3 linked regions of the Sus scrofa genome follow. The protein of the gene in region 3 binds, or shares a complex with, the protein of the main gene of each other region. Links are inferred from orthologs where the notes say so. Each region holds a gene or a part of one and is shown on either strand. Other genes may lie near its edges.

Region 1 (5,925 bases), on a different chromosome or scaffold from region 3:
GCTGCTGTGAACATCAGGGTGCATTATCTTTCTGAATTGTAGTTTTGTCTGGATATATACACAGAAGTGGGATTGCTGGATCATATGATAATTCTATTTTTAGCTTTCTGAGGAACTTCTATACCGTTTTCCTTAGTGGTTATACTAATTTACATTCCCATCAGTAGTGTAGGAGGGTTCCCTTTTCTCCACATTGAATTTTCTCTTATAATCACTGCCCCATAATAATCTTGTTATCAATTTTGATATACATTCAACCAGACATTTCCATACAACTAACATATATACATATATAATTATTACTTTTAACAGAAATAAGGTCATACTATACATACTGTTCTGCAACTTGTTTTCCACTTTATAGTGTATCTTGGACTTCTTTCCATGCCACCACATGACACTCTAACTCATTCTTTTTAGTGGCTGCATAGTACTCCTAGAATCTTCCTGTTTTAAAAACTACTTATATATAAAAGAAACAAATCCAAAGGGGGAAAAATCAAGCAGAATACTTGTCAGTTTGAGATCCACTGAACCTGGAGTTTCTCTGGGTCTGTGCCTCTCTCTCTCTTTTTTTTTGTCTTTAGGGCTGCACCCATGGCATATGGAGGTTCCCAGGAGCTGTAGCTGCTGGCCTACACCACAGCCAGAGCAACTCGGGATCCAAGCCATGTTGGCGACCTACATCACAGCTCATGGCAATGCTGGATCCTTAACCCACTAAGGGAGGTCAGGGATTGAACCTTTGCCCTCAATGGATACTAGTCAGATTGTTTCCACTGAGCCACAGCGGGAACTCCTGTGCTTCTCATGATAACACCCAGAGTGAAGCTTTGGACTGAACAAGGCTCCTACCTATCACGTAGCCCTTGTGCTCTACAGAAAATGTATCATAGACTGCCGTTGTTACCCAGTCCACTTAAGCTACAAAATCAGACTGCTGCTTTCCCAATTTCTAAAAAGACACGTTTTCTTATTAGGATTCCCTGACGGCTGTGTAAAAGTAAAACCCACATTTCCATAGGAATTATGTGTCAAAATGCCATCTTCTCAAAGCATATTAGGAAAAGATAACACTAAGTGGGGTGATGGGGATGGAAAAAAAATACACCTCATCTTGCAACTCTAACTTGTCAGAACTCTCATTAATATTAATATGGTACTATAAAATTCCATAGAGATAAAATGAAATGGTTTTACTTGTTAACAAGATTTTAGGAAAACTATAAAAAAAACTGTAGAATCTAAATCTCCATAGCTCTAAAATGTATAAATAACTTATTGACTGCAATGCCTGCAAAAAGCTTGGTTTCAGTGGATAATTAAGTGGAAATAAAATATAGTACTACAAAAGAAAACTTTCTATTTGGTTAAATTGAGACCAATAAAATAAACACATAATAACAGCAATATTTATTTACTTTTCTTTAGATGGTTAAGAAATGCTTTACAAGTGAGACTTAAGACATAAAGCATGACTGATGGATTCTTTCCAAATACAAAGTTTGACAGTTGAACAAATCGCCTCCCTACAAATTAGAAAAACCTTTACTTACTGATAGACATTTTTAGTTGCAGATTTATAAAACACACTATTTAAAATAGTCTATTGATATATATTAGGAGCATCTTCTTTTTTTTTTGTTGTTGCAAAAATTGGATTTAGCTGAAGGATAAACCATAGCTAAGAATTTAGCTCAGCAGCATTCCACCAAAGCCAAGATGTCCCTAAATATCTCCACAGTCAGAGATAAATGATTTAAAAAATGAAATTCAATGTCTATTTAAGTCAACTGGTTTATTCTGTAAGATCCACAAAAATTATGTTTTTAAGAGGACTGGACACTAGAGAGGAAGAGTTTAAATGTTGTCTTAAGGTTAAATGTATAAAACACAGGTGTACCATACAGTTGAGTATAATTATAAGATATAATTTTGATGTTATCATTGAGCACAAAGAGCTCACTAAAGAGAAATAAAAATAGCAAGGTCTGAAGGACTCAACTGTTGGTTTTGTGTATGGCTTATGACTGTATTGAGTTGGGTTTTAAAGTACAGATAGAAAAAACATCTTACGCAAAGCAGGTGAACGCTGACACGGCCGCTGCGCTACCACCTGAGCTTCCTCCAGTTATAAGCCAGTTTGAATCCTCATCCTCACCATGAGTCTTCTGCTGCTTCTTTCCTCTGTACTGTTTTGAGTAACTCCAGGGGTTTTTAACCGGTCCAAATATGCCATCTGTGCTTCCAGATCTGAGATGAAGAAGTGAAGCAAGATCTCTTACTAAAGCTCATTTTGTGTGAAATTTCCATCTCCTGGTTATATTATTTGCTTTTGATGCTGTATAATCCACTTTGATTATAAATTGGACGTGAAAAGGCAGGAAGCCTATTTAGATGTCACTTTCTTTAATTAGATGGTTGAGGAGGTGAAGGATGGGAAGTAAGAGATTTGTGATAAAAAGTAGGAAAAAACTGGTCTGCTAAGAGAAGATATTTATCCAAATTGATTATCTAATTCAGCTTAGGATGATTTCCTTTATAAATTAAGGTTTTCCAGTTGAAGTGTGTCACAAACATTCAAATAGTTAACAAGACTTTTTTTTTATTTTTGGCCATGCCCACAGTATGGGGAAATTCCCGAGCCAGGGATCAAACCCATGCTACAGCAGCAACCCAAGCCACTGCAGTAACAGTGTTAAATCCTTAACCTGCGGCGCCAAAGAGAATGCCAATAAGTAGGCTTTTGAAGGAATTCCTCTTTAGCAGAAGTTTTGAGAAGCATTCTTAGTGGAATGCTAATAACTTTTTTTTAATTTTGAAAAAATGTCAACCTTACAGATAAATTACAGAAATAAAAAATAGTATGAAAAAACTTCATAGCCTTTACCCTGGTTCACCTACTGTTTACATTTTACCCCATTTGTTTTATCATTTTTGTGCTCTGTGTGTGTATCTATACATTTTTTCCCTGAACTACTTAAGGTTAAATAATATATACTATGGCCCTTTACCCCTAAATACTTTAGTATGAATTCAGTATGCATGTCCAAAGACCCTTTGGTATTCTCTTACACAATTACAGTATAGTCACCTCAGTAAATTTAACAGCAATACAATATTTTTATTGAACCTACTACATGTAATCCAATTTTGTCAGTTGATCCAATACTGTCCTTTATAGAACTTTACCTCCTTTTAGTACAGGATCAAATCAAGAGTCAGGAATGGTATTAGTTATCCTTGTCTCTTTACTCTCTCTTTTTACTTTTTTCACCAGTCTATGAATTTGCATTATTTCCTGTTTTTAGCAATTTGAATAAAGCCACAATAAATACTGTACTGAAGGGCTGGAGCCCATGCTTTAGTGTAAACATAAACCTTCATCTCTTGGGTGAATACCCAGGATTGAGAATGTTGGGTCTTAGGGTAAATGTATGTTTAATTTTATAAGAAACTGCTAAACTGTTTTCCAAATGGCTACACCATTTTGCATTTCATACCAGTGCTGTATGAGAAGACCAATTGTTCTGCATCCTGGTCAGCACTTGATATTGTCTTCTTCTTTTTTTTTTTTTTTTTTTTTTTTGGTCTTATTGCTTTTTCTAGGGCTGCTCCCACAGCATATGGAGGTTCCCAGGCTAGGGGTCTAACCGGAGCTGTAGCCACTGGCCTACACCAGAGCCACGGCAATGTGGGATCTGGGATCTGAGCCACGTCTGCCACCTACACCATAGCTCACGGCAATGCCCGATCCTTAACCCACTGAGCAAGGCCAGGGATCGAACCTGCAACCTCATGGTTCCTAGTCGGATTCGTTAACCACTGCGCCATGACGGGAACTCTGATATTGTCATTTTTAAAGCCATTCTAACTCACATGTATATACTTTATTGTGGTTTTAATTTGCATTTCTTGAGTGACTAACCACATTAAGTATTTTTTGATTTTTCTTTTTGCCAATTGTATTACTTTCTTTGACATACAATTTCAGAAGTTGTTTATAACTTTTACTCTTTTTTTTTTTTTAATTGGGTTGTTTTGATTTGGGAAAGTTTCTACATATACTGGATCCCAATTCTTTCTCAGACATGTGTTTTGCAAATATTTTTTCCCAGTCTATGGCTTGTTTTTCCATTTTTAACACTGTATTTCAAAGTACAGCTCTTAATTTTAAGGAAATCCAATTTACTGATTTTTAATTTTATAGAATGTACTTTATGTGTCCCATATAAGAAATTTCGGCATTATTCAGGGTCAGAAAGATTTTCTCCTATGTTTTCTTAAGTTATAGGTTTTACTTTCTTTAGCCTCCTTTAGCCTGGAACATTTTCACAGTCTTTCTTTGTTTTTATGATATTGAGATTTTAATAGAATGTTTCTCCTTTCAGATTTATTGTTTGTTTCCTCATTATGAGCTGGAATACATTCTCAGCTGGAATATTGCATAGGTGATTCCTTCTCAGAGAATCACATCTGGAAGTACACGGTATTGCTCTACTCTCACTAGTGATGTTCATTTTGATCAGCTGTTCAAGGTAATGTCCTAAAAACCTATGTTCACGTTTACTTCCAGATTAATTCATTCAACATATGTTTACTAATTACTAAGAGATGCCACTGTAAATAAGAGAGTGAAGGAATCTGCTTGTATGAAACAGGAAACACAGACCAAACTAATATTACAAGTGTGACAAATGTTATAAAAGGGGAAATAAAATGCTTTTGATGAAAGACTAAATGCTTTCCTCCATGATTAGGAACAAGGCAAGGATATTTGATCTTACCACTTAATATTCAATATTGTACTAAAAGTCCTAACTGGTGCAAAAAGGCTAGAAAAAGAAATAAAACTGTCTCTATTTGCAGACTACATGCTCACCTATATAAAATATACCAAACAATCTATACAAAGCCCAACCAGAATTAATAAGTGAGCTTACCAAGGTCACAGGATAAAAATAAAAGGTCAACATAGAAAAGTCAATTACATTCCTATATATTAGAAATAAACAATTAGAAACTGAAAAAAATACCATTTTCTATAATACTAAAAAAAGTGTTCAATTGATTTTTTCACAAAGGAATCAAAGTAATTTAATTTGAATTTTTATACAAATAGTCCCAGATCTACAGGACAGACATATGTTAAAAAAAAAAAAAAAAAAAAAAAAGAGAGAGAGAACTTCGGCTTTCTTCACATCATATATGAAAAATTAACTCAAATGGAACACAAGTCTAAATATAAGAACTAAAACTGTAAAACTTCTAGGAGAAACATGGAAAAAAAAATCTTTATGACTTTGAGGAAAGGAAAGGGAAAGATTTCTTTGATAAGACACAAAAAACATCAAGTCATTAAAGAAAATGAGGAACAGGATATTAAAAGCTTGTACTGTATTTTTTTGTTTGTTTGTTTGTTTTTGTTTGTTTGTTTGTCTTTTTGCTGTTTCTTTGGGCCGCTCCTGTGGCATATGGAGGTTCCCAGGCTAGGGGTCTATTCGGAGCTGTAGCCACTGGCCTATGCCAGAGCCACAGCAACTCGGGATCCGAGCCGCTTCTGCAACCTACACCACAGCTCACGGCAACGCCGGATCGTTAACCCACTGAGCAAGCGCAGGGACCGAACCCGCAACCTCATGGTTCCTAGTTGGATTCGTTAACCACTGCGCCACGACGGGAACTCCAAAGCTTGTACTGTTTGAAAGGCATATTTGGAGAATGCAAAGACAAGCCAGAGACTCAGAATATATTTGCAAATGATCTGACATTGAATTTGAATCCGGAATATATGAAAAAAAACTCTTACGACTCAATAAAACAACCCAATTAAAAAAATTTTTTTTCTTTGTCTTTTTAGGGCTGCATATGGAGGTTCCCAGGCTAGGGGTTACATCAGAGCTGCAGCTGCCAGCCTACACCACA
Region 2 (5,925 bases), on a different chromosome or scaffold from region 3:
TACAACATTCACTTTTTTGGCAAGAAACTGAAGGTCTAGAAGATCATACTTGTTTAGGGCAACACATTTAAGACAGTGCCAGCTCCTGGAATAAACTCCAACTGTCCACTCTTAGCACCATTTGAATACATGTTTATTGTGTCTCGTCCTAGGCTGGGTGCCCCAAAGAAAACAGAACCAATCCTTTCCTAAAAGAATCTTAACATTACAACTTGGCCCTCTATGCAGCCTCTACGCAGATGTTCATGTCACATCCTTGCCCCACTGTCCTATTAGGTTGAGCCCTCAGCTTGTCTGGCTCAAAGCAGAAAGACACTGGCTGCTCCCCATCAGTGATTTAGCAGACTGCTTATTTTTCAGCCCAAGTATCTGGAAGCAGGCTCAAGCCTCCTGTCACACACTTTTGTTTTTTGTTTCTGTTTTTGTTTTTGCTTTTTAGGGGCCACACTAGCTGCTTGTGGAGGTTCCCAGGCTAGGGGTCAAAATCAGAGCTACAGCTTCTGGCCTACACCACAGCCACAGCAACGTAGGATCTGAGCCGCATCTGTGACCTACACCACAGCTCCCAGCAATGCCAGATCCTTAACCCACTGAGCAAGGCCAGGAATCAAACCCGTGTCCTCATGGATACTAGTTGGGCTTGTTACTGCCAAGCCGCAATGGGAACTTCCTGTCATGCACTTTGAAACCTTAGAACAGTAGTAAGGCCCCACAGATGTGTCCAACTTCTGTTCAGTTTCACTAGTTTGCCATCTGGATACTTTAATAAAACTATTAGGCACTAAGAAGATTCTTAAGCTGTGTTTGTGGTACATCTTACAAGGGCAGGTACTTATATCCACAAAGGTGGCTGCAATGGAAAAAGCACTCATCTTAGGGGAACCAGAGTTGGTTCCCAGGCCTGTCACTTAGGAGCTTAAGTCATTTATAACCACTTTTGAGCAAGTTTCTGCACCTGCCTGGAAGTCCATTTCCATCCACCCAATCCAGCTATTTCTTAACTGTGGCAAAGGAATAATATTACCTATTCTGAATACATATTCCTCACCCAGGCTGGGTTAGGTTCCCTTTTCAATTCCCTTGGCAAGCACTGCTTACCTCTTAAGATTTAACTGACTTTTACCTATCTCCACCAAAAGCGACTTACACATAGTAATCAGCAAAAAATATTTATTAAACATATCAATCCTAAGGAATAATTACTACTTACCTCACAGGGTTGTTGGGAGAATCTGTAAACTATACTGTTATTTGCTCTACCACTGACCACAGTGCCTCCATCTTTGAGCAGTTACTCTAACCCAATGTGCTGCTCCTTTTTCTCCTTCTCGACCCTCTCTACCTTACCATAGAAGCCCTGTTCTGAGAAGGTAACCTTAAACTTCTGGTTTTGTAGATGTCTGTACCTGAGATCCGACAATGTGGTAGAAGGCAACTGTGCTGAAGAACTACTACAAAACTCCCATCGAGTTGTGGAGGAGTATTTTGTGGCCCCCCCAGGTATGTGTTGCCCAGAATGGCTTCACAGACTGTCCCACAGTAAACTAAGAATATAACCCAGATTGTCTATGTGAAAGCACTTTAAAAAGTATAAAGTAGCAATAGATGAAGGTAGTCAAAAGGTATAAGCTTCCAGTTATAAGTGAAGTAAGTCCTGGGGATGTAATGTCGGGACTATATAGTTAACAATACTGAATATCTGAAAGTTGCTAAGAGTAGACATTAAAAGTTCTCATCACAAGAGAAGAAACTGTAACTATGTGAGATGATAGATGTTAATTAATCTTATAGTAACCATTTTGCAATATATACATATATCAAATCATTGTGTTGTATGCCTTAAACTTATACAATGTCACATGTCAATTATATTTTACCTGTCGATTATATCTCAATAAAACTGGAAACAACAAACAAACCAGGAATGGGAGCCCATTTTCTCAGAGAACCTGGACATCTGGCATTTTGTGTGCTATTTTAAGTGTATGATAACTAATTCAAGATTTTAAAAAATAAAATACCTTGCAAATAAAACATACCTGCAAGCTAGACACTGCCTGTGAATCATCAATTTGCATATCCTAGTGTAGAGATTTGCATGTTTAAATTTCTCTGTAACTATTAGTTTTTATTTTTTCATTTTTGGCTACCCCAAGGCACATGGAGCTCCCAGGCCAGGGATCAGATCTGAGCTGCAACGCCAGATCCTTAACCCACTGTGCCGGGCTGGGGATCGAACCTGCATCCCACTGCTCCCAAAAAGGCCACTGATCACATTATGCCACAGCAGGAGCTCCTACAGATATTTTAAGTGGAAACTTTAAAATAACCCTGGGCCAGTAATAAAACCCAGAACCTTAGGTGGTTTGAACTGTTGATGGGTGAGTCCTCAGAGCTACTGCATCCCTCTGGACATTTGGGGATGGGACTAACCACTCCAGGTAGATGGCTTTCCAAGTGCCAACTTCAAGTTCTTCAGAGGAGAACCATCCTGAGAAGCCTCCAGAGATACACATCAGCCCTCTAGCTCAGGAATTCTCTCTTTGATCAAGACCAACCAGTTAAAGGAAAGCTCTGGTTGAAGCAAGGATGGGAAGGAAACCTAAAAGATACGTGTGCTTAACTCTTAATCATGCCTCTTATTAACTAAACCACTTTAGTTAATTGTGCAGAGAAATAAGATTTTATAATCTCTCAACTCATTCTGATAGTTGTTGCCATTTCAGCAGACGTATCTGTTGATCACACATGCTATTTCTCAAATAGAACCTTGTGTCAGAATATGCATCTTGGGGAGTTCCTGCTGTGGTGCAGTGAGTTAAGAAGCTGACTGCAGCAGTATGGGTTTTGATCCCTGGCCCAGCAGCACAGTGGGTTAAAGGACCCAGTTGCAGGTGCAGCTGGGATTCAGTCCCTAGCCTGGGAACTTCCATATGCTTCTGGTGCAGCCATTAAAAAGAAAAAAATTTTTTCTTTTTTCTTCTTTTTGTCTTTTTGGGCAGCACCCTCAGCATATGGAGTTCCTAGGCTAGGGGTCCAATCGGAGCTGTAGCTGCCGGCCTACACCACAGCCACAGCAACGCCAGATCCGAGCCACGTCTGCCACCTACACCACAGCTCAGCAACTCTGATCCTTAAGCCACTAAGCGAGGCCAGGGATCCAACCTGCGTCCTTATGGATGCTAGTCTGGTTCTTAACCACTGAGCCATGACAGGAACTCCAAAAAGAAAAATTTGTGTCTTGGGACAAACTGAGTTTACAATCATAATCTCTCTTTCCTCTCCCATATGCATGCATAAAAAATGACAAATTAAACTATCTGCTACTTACTGAAAATGTGCACTCAAAAAAACTAACACAACACTGTAAATCAACTGTACTTCAATTAAAAAAAATATATATATTCAGAGTAAAAAAAAGTATCTGTGAACCATGGTTCTTAAAGCTTAATAACTACACTTATTTATATTGCTTATTTTTCATGACAAACCATGTGGTAAGTTAGCTCAGTGTAGAGCCGGTTGGGAAGCAGGCTTAACTAAAAATTCCTTTTTGTTATTGTTTTCAAACAGGTAATATCTCTTGGTCAAAGCTGGATGAAAAAGAGCCCTTCTCATTCCGCTGAGTACTCTTCTGGGAAGGAGTGTTCTATGAACATTGGAAGGACAACAACAGTATTTTGTTATTATGAACGCAAATATTCCCACTTCCTTCAGTCACCTGGAAAAAAAATTGATGGTTAGGCATTTTTTAGTAAGTGACTCTTCTGAAGACCGACTTGGGAAAGATCTAGCCAAAGAGTTCCTGATGCCAGTGGAAGTAGAAGGTATTGCCGATTTCCAAGGAAATGGATCAAGTATTTACTCACAGGCCATTAAGTATGGATAGCTTGATCCCTTCCCTCAAAAGACTGTCTACCAAGCTGTACTTAAAGTGACCTTTTTTGTTTATGTAACTGTTAGACACTGCATCTGATCACTGTGTTGACAGCCTGAGCTATCCTTTTCAGACTGTCAACTTGAGCAGCCTTTTACTTTTACTGAACATACTTAAATTTGTTCCAGGGTACCCACCTTCTTCCAAGCAGAGGGCTGACTTTCTGCTGAGGTTAAAGGAGTAGGGAGGCAGCTTTAGGAGGTAGGTGATAGATATGTATATGGCCTTCATGGTTGTGATTTCATACCAGTATACTTAACCCCAAACTCATTGAATTGTATACATTAAATAAGTACAGCATTTTACAGATAATTATATTTCAATAAAGTGTTTTTTTTTTTTTTTTTTTTTTTTTTTTTTTTTTAATGTAGCCCTGGGCCTGCAACAGAGTAGGCCCCCAGTTCCATGATTACTGAACTTAAGCAGAATCCAAGATAGTGGGGATTTTTTTTTGTTCTGGGTTTGTTTATTTTTTGTCTTTTTAAGGCTGCACCCAGGGCATAGTTCCCAGGCTAGTGGTTGAATCAGAGCTGTAGCTGCCAGGCTATACTACAGCCACAGAAATGTGGGATCTGTGCCACATCTGCGACCTACATCACAGCTCATGGCAACCCACTGAGTGAGACCAGGGATGGAACCCACGTCTTCAATGAATATAAGTAAGGTTTGTTACCAGTGAGCCATGATGGGAACTCCACGTTTTGTTTTTTAAAGCTCAGATACCAAGGACAAATGAGACAAATTTAGGAATGAAAGTGATAGAACCAAAACTTAAGAGATTTTTTTTTTTTTCTAACCAACTGCCAAAGTTGGTTTTGGGTAAGAATTTCCCGATGATCTTTATGCTGGTGCCCACTTAAAAAAGCCTTCCTGGAGTTCCTGTCGTGGCACATCGGAAATGAATCTTACTAGGAATGGGTTCGATCCCTGGCCTCGCTCAGGGGCTTAAGGATCTGGTGTTGCCGTGAGCTGTGGTGAAGGTTGCAGACACAGCTTGGATCCTGTGTTGCTGAAGCTGTGGGGTAGGCTGGAAGTTGTAGCTCCGATTTGACCCTTAGCCTGGGAACCTCCATATGCCACGGGTATGGCCCTAAAAAAGCAAAGTAAACAAAAATAAAAAGCCTCCCCACTCCCTTCTCTTATCTGCAATGCTCCCCTTTTCCTTTTTTTGCCAGACCCATGGAACATATGAAAGTTCTTGGACCAGGGATCAAATCTAAGCCACAGTGATGACCTATGCCACAGCTGGATTTGATCCCTGCCACAGTGGTGGCAATGCTGGATCCTTAACCCACTGCGCCAGGCCAGGGATCAAACCCTTGCCTCCACAGCAACCCAAACTACTGCAGTCAGATTTTTAACCCACTTTGCCACAGAGGGAATTCCTCCCCTTTTCTTTAAAGCAGCTTAATTTACACAATTAGCCTTGAATTATAAGAAAACCCTGAATCTACCCTTGGGATTGAAGTTCTCAAACCACTATCAGAGCAACTACCTTTATTCCCAAATACAGTAATCCACTTCTGCTCTTTACCAGTTGGGTACAAGTTGCCACTACAACTGAAAGATTTTGGGGTGGTTTTTTTTTTTTCGGCTGTACCCATGGCGTACAAAAGATCCAGGGTCAGGAACAGCAGTGACAACACCAGATCCTTAACCCAGTGCACCACCAAGGAACTCTGATTTTTTTGTTTTAATTTATCAGTGTGCCTCTTTGGTGAAAACTATGAACTTAATCAAAGACAACCACACACATCAATTACTAAACGTTTAAAATATATTTCTAAACAGAATGGGCCAACTCAGTCACAGTAACTGCTGATCTCCATAGAAGAGCAACCCACAAAGATACAGCACTGATTTTTTTTCCCATAATCAGGGGTGAAAAATATACAACTTGTTTCTGAACCAAAACCACCATTTCTGCAGTTAAAAATGTGTTACTGCTAATATGGCCCTGGTAGAAATTATGTAGTTTTATTTCCTTA
Region 3 (5,925 bases):
TTACTGGCAAATATTTCCTAACGTCCCATAATAGCAAGTCTTCCGGTTTCCCAGGAACGAGTCCTTGTACAAGGGTAAAGTCCAGGTCGAAAAGCCCAAACCCACTTATTCTCTGCACTTATAAACTAGCATTGAGTGAAAAAGGCACAGCAGAGAACGATGCCACACAGTGATTCGTAATTGTGAGTAAAGTACAGACATTCATAAAGATGGAGGCTGAAAAAATACGACCAGGTAAGAATCTACTTTTTAGGAAAAAGATGACTTCACTCATTTTACAATTTTCACTGGCCTAGCAGTTAAGAACTTGGCATTGTCACTGTTGTGGCTCAGGTCACCACTATGGTGCAGGTTTGAGCCCTGGCCAGGGAACTTTTGTGTGCTGTGGGCAAGGCTGAAAAACACAAAAGAAAAAGGAGTTCCGTTATGGCACAGTGGTTAATAAATCCGACTAGGAACCATGAGGTTGCAGGTTCGATCCATGGCCTTGCTCAGTGGGTTAAGGATCCGGCGTTGCCGTGAGCTGTGGTACAGGTTGCAGATGCGGCGCGGATCCCGCGTTGCTATGGCTCTGGTATAAGCCAGTGGTTACAGCTCCGATGAGACCCCTGGCCTGGGAACCTCCATATGCTGCAGGAAGTGACCCTAGAAAAGGCAAAAAGACCCCCCCCAAAAAAAGAGAGAGAGAGAGAAATTTCTTTCTTGAAAAGTGGAAGAAAAAATGCATTTTGTTTAAATAAAATGTTAGCTGAGGGAAGCACAGGGGATTTTGGAGGCAGTGAAACCATACTGTGTGACACTAATGACGGGTACATGTCATTACACATCTGTCAAAACCCGCAAAATGTGTAACATAGAGAGCAAACCCTGGTGTAAACCATGGACTCTAGTTACTAATAAGCTATCAATACTGGTTCATCAACTTTAACAAATGTACCACGCTTTACCCTAACGCAAGATATTATTAGGGGAAACTGTGTGTGTGGTGGGGGGAAGGGGAGTACATGAAATACACCAAGGAGTATATAGGAACTCTTATGATTTGCCCTCAGTTCTGCTATAAACCTAAAACTGGTCTAAAAAGTCAATTTTTAAAAAAAAAATGTGGAAGCCGCACCACTGCACATGCTCTTCTGAAACAAGGACGTCCTTCCCTTCATTCTCTTCAGCATGTAGAGTTTCTTCTCCACCCACATCTTGTCAAGGAGCTTGTGCAGAAGCTGGATAATGCAGAATAAATGGTGGCCCCAAGGTAACAGATCAGAAGTGCAAGCAACCCACTGCCTCAAAGCCCAATCTGTGCCATGAATCAGTCTGGCTTCTGAAGGCAAGAGGAAACCAAAGGGAGGCTTCCTGAATCCCATCTATTTGCCTGGGGGACTGAGCTGAAGCCACTGGCTGAGTTCAAAAGCCAACTCCATGCTCAGTGAGAAGGCAGCATAAACAGAGCAGGGGCAGCACTGGAGAACAAAGACCTTCTTGGGAAGAAGAGACTGAATTAGAAGATCACAGGAATTAGGACAGTGGTGACTCTGACAGAGGAGTCCTTGAGGAGACGTCACTCTGAGGGTTGAAGAGTTTCCTGGTTCCCACATCACGTGAATGCCATGTGTGCTCCTCACTGACAGCAATGGCTACTCTTACCTCTTCCTGCACTTGATAAAAGAATGTGCTAACCTCTATCACTTTGTTGCTTGAAACTTTAATTTTTGAAGTCTGCTAAACTCCATGGGGAAGAAACAAAAGGTTCACTTGATTTTAAACTAAACCTCATTATTTGCTTTCATTCTGGCTCTCGTATCAAGTCTAGCTTGTTTAAATTAAATCAATTAAATAGCATCACCTGAGATTCAATGGGAACTGTGAATAATACATAAATCTTTCTTCCTTCTTCTCACAGAACCTCAGTGTGTTACTGAATTTGTTAGTGAATAAAATAAGAACAGCCTAGGCTCCACCCCTCACCTGCCACTCTCTCAGCTCAATTATAACAACTGTGACACAGAGGTGAGTGAACATGGCTTTTCCAACCACTGAATCAAGCCAAATAAAGTACTCCATGGCTACCAAATCAAGAAAATATTCACTCAGTATACATATAAAACAGGAAGTCTGGATTTTCCATTATACAGTAACAAGTAAAGTGGTTCCTAAAATATACCCAGGGTCATTATGTTGGTCTATAAGTGGATTTGGAACATGCCCCAACCCCAAATAGTGAAAGGTGTTTTGACAAGAGGAATAACCACCTGTAGTCTTGTTTTCCTTCTTTATCTCTCATCGGCACGGTGCACCTGTGACAGTTAAACAAGAAAACATCAAAAAATGTTGCATGTAGCGTGGGCTAGTGCCTATGCAGACAGGGACTCCCCTACCAAGAGGCGACCCATGAGATTCCAGCTCCTTAGCCTTCTTTGGAAGACACTTATGTGAATACATTTCAGAAAAGATAAGTAAAAAATGTTTAGCATGATAATTAAAAATAAAAAGAAACTGCTTCAATGTTTCCAACATTTAACCAACTCAACTCTAAGCTTTTGAGCTTTTTTCCACTCTGTCTTCGGCTAAGTGGAAAAAATCCTCAAAATCAGACTCAGAAAATTAGACTCAAAGTTATCTCAACAGAAAAAGGCACCTCTACAATCAGCTCTAAGCTGCCTTCCATCTCTAGCTTCAGTTGGCAGAACTAAGGTATGAAAGAATTTAAGGAAGTAAAAGTTCTTGCCCCAAGGAGGAAAGCTGGAAGCCAGGGAAAGGCCAGCCTGAGCAGGTCTGGTTCAGCCAGGTTAAACCTCTTACAAGCCCTAGAGAGTAAATCACCTCTCTGTAGGATACAGTGTTTTTCTAATTTTACTAATGAGGAAACAGAAGGGTGGAGAGGCTACGTCCCTCCTTCAAGGTGACATGGCTGGAGTGTGGCCAGCCCAGGCCACAGCCCCACCTACCTGTGTTCAAGATGCTGCAACACAAACTCACCCCAGCTTGTAATCAAACGAACGAGTTTCATTCAGAATTTCACCTCCATTCTCAAGTTCACTGATTTGCCTCTGAATTTCATAGTCTAAAAAAAAAAATTTGTCGTGTATCATATTTTGATTCCTTTCATCCAGTTAAGCAATAATTAGAATTCTTTTTTCAATCTTTATGTCAAAAAAAAAAAAAAGCTGTTTATGACAATTCTTCCTACATATGCTACATTTTTGTCTTGATGCCATCATAGAATAAAGGTGCTGGAAAGGGCCTTGTATGAAGCTCTGCTCTCTCAATTTTTGAGAAAACTCAGGTACAGAGAGGTTAAGGGACCCAGCGGAGACTACACAACTTGGCGAAAGAAGGGCTCGGACCATTATCTAGGCTGAGTGACTCCAGATCTAGGATTGTTGTTTATCAAGAGTCCTTATCCCAGGACCCATGGACGGGCAAGGGGTCCTGGTACCTTCTGAAACTATATAAAACGTGGTATGTGCATACGCACGTTTTTTGGAAAGAGGGCCCAGAACTATCATCACATTTTCAAAGGGATCTACGACCCCAAATGATTAAGAGCCACTGCTGTGCTCCCTCACCATCAAACAAAGCAGCTGTGGAAAGCAAAACACAGCTATAGCTGCTAAGCTTCTTTATGAAAAGAGCTTTAGCCTCTGTCCTGCTAACTCCCCACCCCAGCACGCACCCCCTTCTCTTGCCCAAATCCACACTCTTAATCTGAGCCGATAAAAAAGCATCAGCACCAGGAGGATGGCTAAAAGGCCTGACAGAGGGAGAAAAAGGAGGTGGAAAAATTCCAGGCTTGGAGGACTAAGTCCATAACAGTAAAGCTGCAGTTGTTCTGGGCCAAGGCAGACCCCAGGGAAAATTCTGTCTCAGGCTTGCTGCTCCAAAGGGGACTTTATAGGACAATAGAAGGTTGGGTTTACCCCGAAACAGGCAGGGTCTCCGTAACTCAAAAGAGATGAATCTACCTAAAACCTTATTTGGTTTTTAAGGTTACCATCTCCTCTCAGAATAATGAGGTGGAGAACATGCACCACCTACAAGGTGAGATGGAACTTTCTTCCGTTCTTCCCAAGCTTCGCCTTCACGAACCTGGGCCGGAAGGGTTTTCACAGCCTCAGAAACATGGACTGCATCTCCTTTGATGGACAGAGTCCACCCTCTTTAATCTGTCTTCACACGGGAGTCTCCCTCAGACACCTTCCCTTCCTGTAAGTTATTCCCTTGGCCAAATTCATGCAGTTTTCCTGAAACTTGGCAGACTCGGAGTGTCTTCACTGAGGATGGTTGATCATTTCAGGTTCAGGAGAATAAGGTTTTATACAAGACTAGAAAATCTTTTTTTGTGCTATTTTGAATACTTTCTTGACAAGACCCAGGACTCTACTAAGCCTTCTGCCTGTGATGACACATCCGTGTGGGCCATGTTCTGTGCACCTTGCAGGGTGTGCTTCAGACTCCACCCCTCCTTCCTGCCTCTCTTTCTCTCTAGAGACCTCTGGTTTTCAAGAATATTTTCATTCCTGAGATGTCTTCCTCTCACATTCACAGGCATCAACTTCTACGGACCGCCCCCAGATGTTGATCTTACCCAGCTGTTCTAGTTTAATTATTGGTATATGCTTGACAACATGGAAATATCCACAGCATGTTCTCCAATAAGACCAATACTTGACTGCACAGGCCCAATCTATTAGTTAAAACAGTAAAAAGCAGAAAAGCATACTGACCACTTAGGTCAAGTGGTGGCCAATCTAAAATGAACAAAGAGGACTTCACTCAATTCAGGCTGGTCAGAAGGAACATGGTATGTGGAAAACAGAGTTGTGGGATTTTGCAGATCCTTTCATAGAGGTGACGTCTGTTTCACCTCACTTGAATCTGCTTTGAATGCAATGTGCTGAAAGAGATCCTGCAAGTTCTAAAACTAAGGACTCAAGAGGCCTCGAGGCGTCTGCCTTCATCCTCCTGGCATGACCCCTCCACCAAATAAGGCCATGGCTCAGCAAATGAAGGAAGAGAGCCCATGTGGGTAAAGAAGCCTGGTGGGCACCCAGCACCAATGTCCCAACATGGGGGTGAGGTCATCTTGGACTCTTTGTCTGAGCTGAGTTGCTGGCTCCCCACAGCCACACTCATCACACTCTTTCCACTGAGGAAGGGCAGCAGAAAACCCACTCAACCCATAGAACTGTGAAAGTGGAAATGTTACTGTGGGAACCATTAAGTTTGATGGACAGGGATGCTTGTTACACAGCAACAGATAACGGATACAAGGAGGTACATGGGAATAACAGCTGATATTCACCTATAGCTTTGGCCAAAAACCTGGCACTGTTGAGATTCTTCACTTCAGTTCGAATGCCCAAAGGCTCCCCAGGGTGATGCACAGATATATTGGCATCCACTCTCAACTGGCCCTCTGGAAGGAGAGAAAGAAGACACTTCAGACTTGCTGAGGCAATGAGGTCTTTTGAAGGCAAGAGATTGCAGAGTTCCCATGGTGGCTCAGGGATAACAAACTCAATCAGTACCCTTGAGGATGCAGGTTCAATCCCTGGCCTTGCTCAGTGGGTTAAGGATCTAGTGTTGCCATGAGCTGTGGTGTAGGTCGCAGATGCGGCTTGGATCTATGTTGCTCTGGTTTTTGTGTAGGCCGGCAGCTATAGCTCTGATTCTACCTCTGGCTTAGGAACTTCCACATGCAGCAGGTGCGGCCCTAAATAGACAAAAAAAAAAAAAAAAAAAAAAAAAAAAAGAGAGAGAGAGAGAGAGAGTGCAAACAACATCTAACTCTAGTCATTGTTTAGTTATGGCAGCCTAACTTCAGTGAAGGCAAGGTTGGTGCTGAGGTACAAGGCTGGTACTTCTGTCCACTTATGAGGAGGACAGTCCAGAGGCTTCTGAGGGGCGTGCATGTGCCGTGCACAC

Evidence for each region. The genes of interacting proteins can lie anywhere in the genome.
Region 1: GATB (region 3) and QRSL1 share a complex: the UniProt entries of both Homo sapiens proteins name them as parts of the heterotrimeric GatCAB amidotransferase (AdT) complex. The link is inferred for Sus scrofa from reciprocal best matches to the Homo sapiens genes GATB and QRSL1.
Region 2: GATB (region 3) and GATC share a complex: the UniProt entries of both Homo sapiens proteins name them as parts of the heterotrimeric GatCAB amidotransferase (AdT) complex. The link is inferred for Sus scrofa from reciprocal best matches to the Homo sapiens genes GATB and GATC.

Annotation. Positions count from the first base shown.
Region 1 is NC_010443.5:72,824,621-72,830,545, reverse strand, and holds part of QRSL1 (glutamyl-tRNA(Gln) amidotransferase subunit A, mitochondrial), read right to left. Parts: intron 2,254-5,925; coding exon 2,077-2,253; intron 1-2,076. UniProt on the Homo sapiens protein: Allows the formation of correctly charged Gln-tRNA(Gln) through the transamidation of misacylated Glu-tRNA(Gln) in the mitochondria. The reaction takes place in the presence of glutamine and ATP through an activated gamma-phospho-Glu-tRNA(Gln).
Region 2 is NC_010456.5:40,419,384-40,425,308, forward strand, and holds the end of GATC (glutamyl-tRNA(Gln) amidotransferase subunit C, mitochondrial), read left to right. Parts: intron 1-1,396; coding exon 1,397-1,500; intron 1,501-3,573; coding exon 3,574-3,626; 3' UTR 3,627-5,923; downstream 5,924-5,925. UniProt on the Homo sapiens protein: Allows the formation of correctly charged Gln-tRNA(Gln) through the transamidation of misacylated Glu-tRNA(Gln) in the mitochondria. The reaction takes place in the presence of glutamine and ATP through an activated gamma-phospho-Glu-tRNA(Gln).
Region 3 is NC_010450.4:77,279,871-77,285,795, reverse strand, and holds part of GATB (glutamyl-tRNA(Gln) amidotransferase subunit B, mitochondrial), read right to left. Parts: intron 5,417-5,925; coding exon 5,303-5,416; intron 3,062-5,302; coding exon 2,977-3,061; intron 2,295-2,976; coding exon 2,250-2,294; intron 1-2,249. UniProt on the Homo sapiens protein: Allows the formation of correctly charged Gln-tRNA(Gln) through the transamidation of misacylated Glu-tRNA(Gln) in the mitochondria. The reaction takes place in the presence of glutamine and ATP through an activated gamma-phospho-Glu-tRNA(Gln).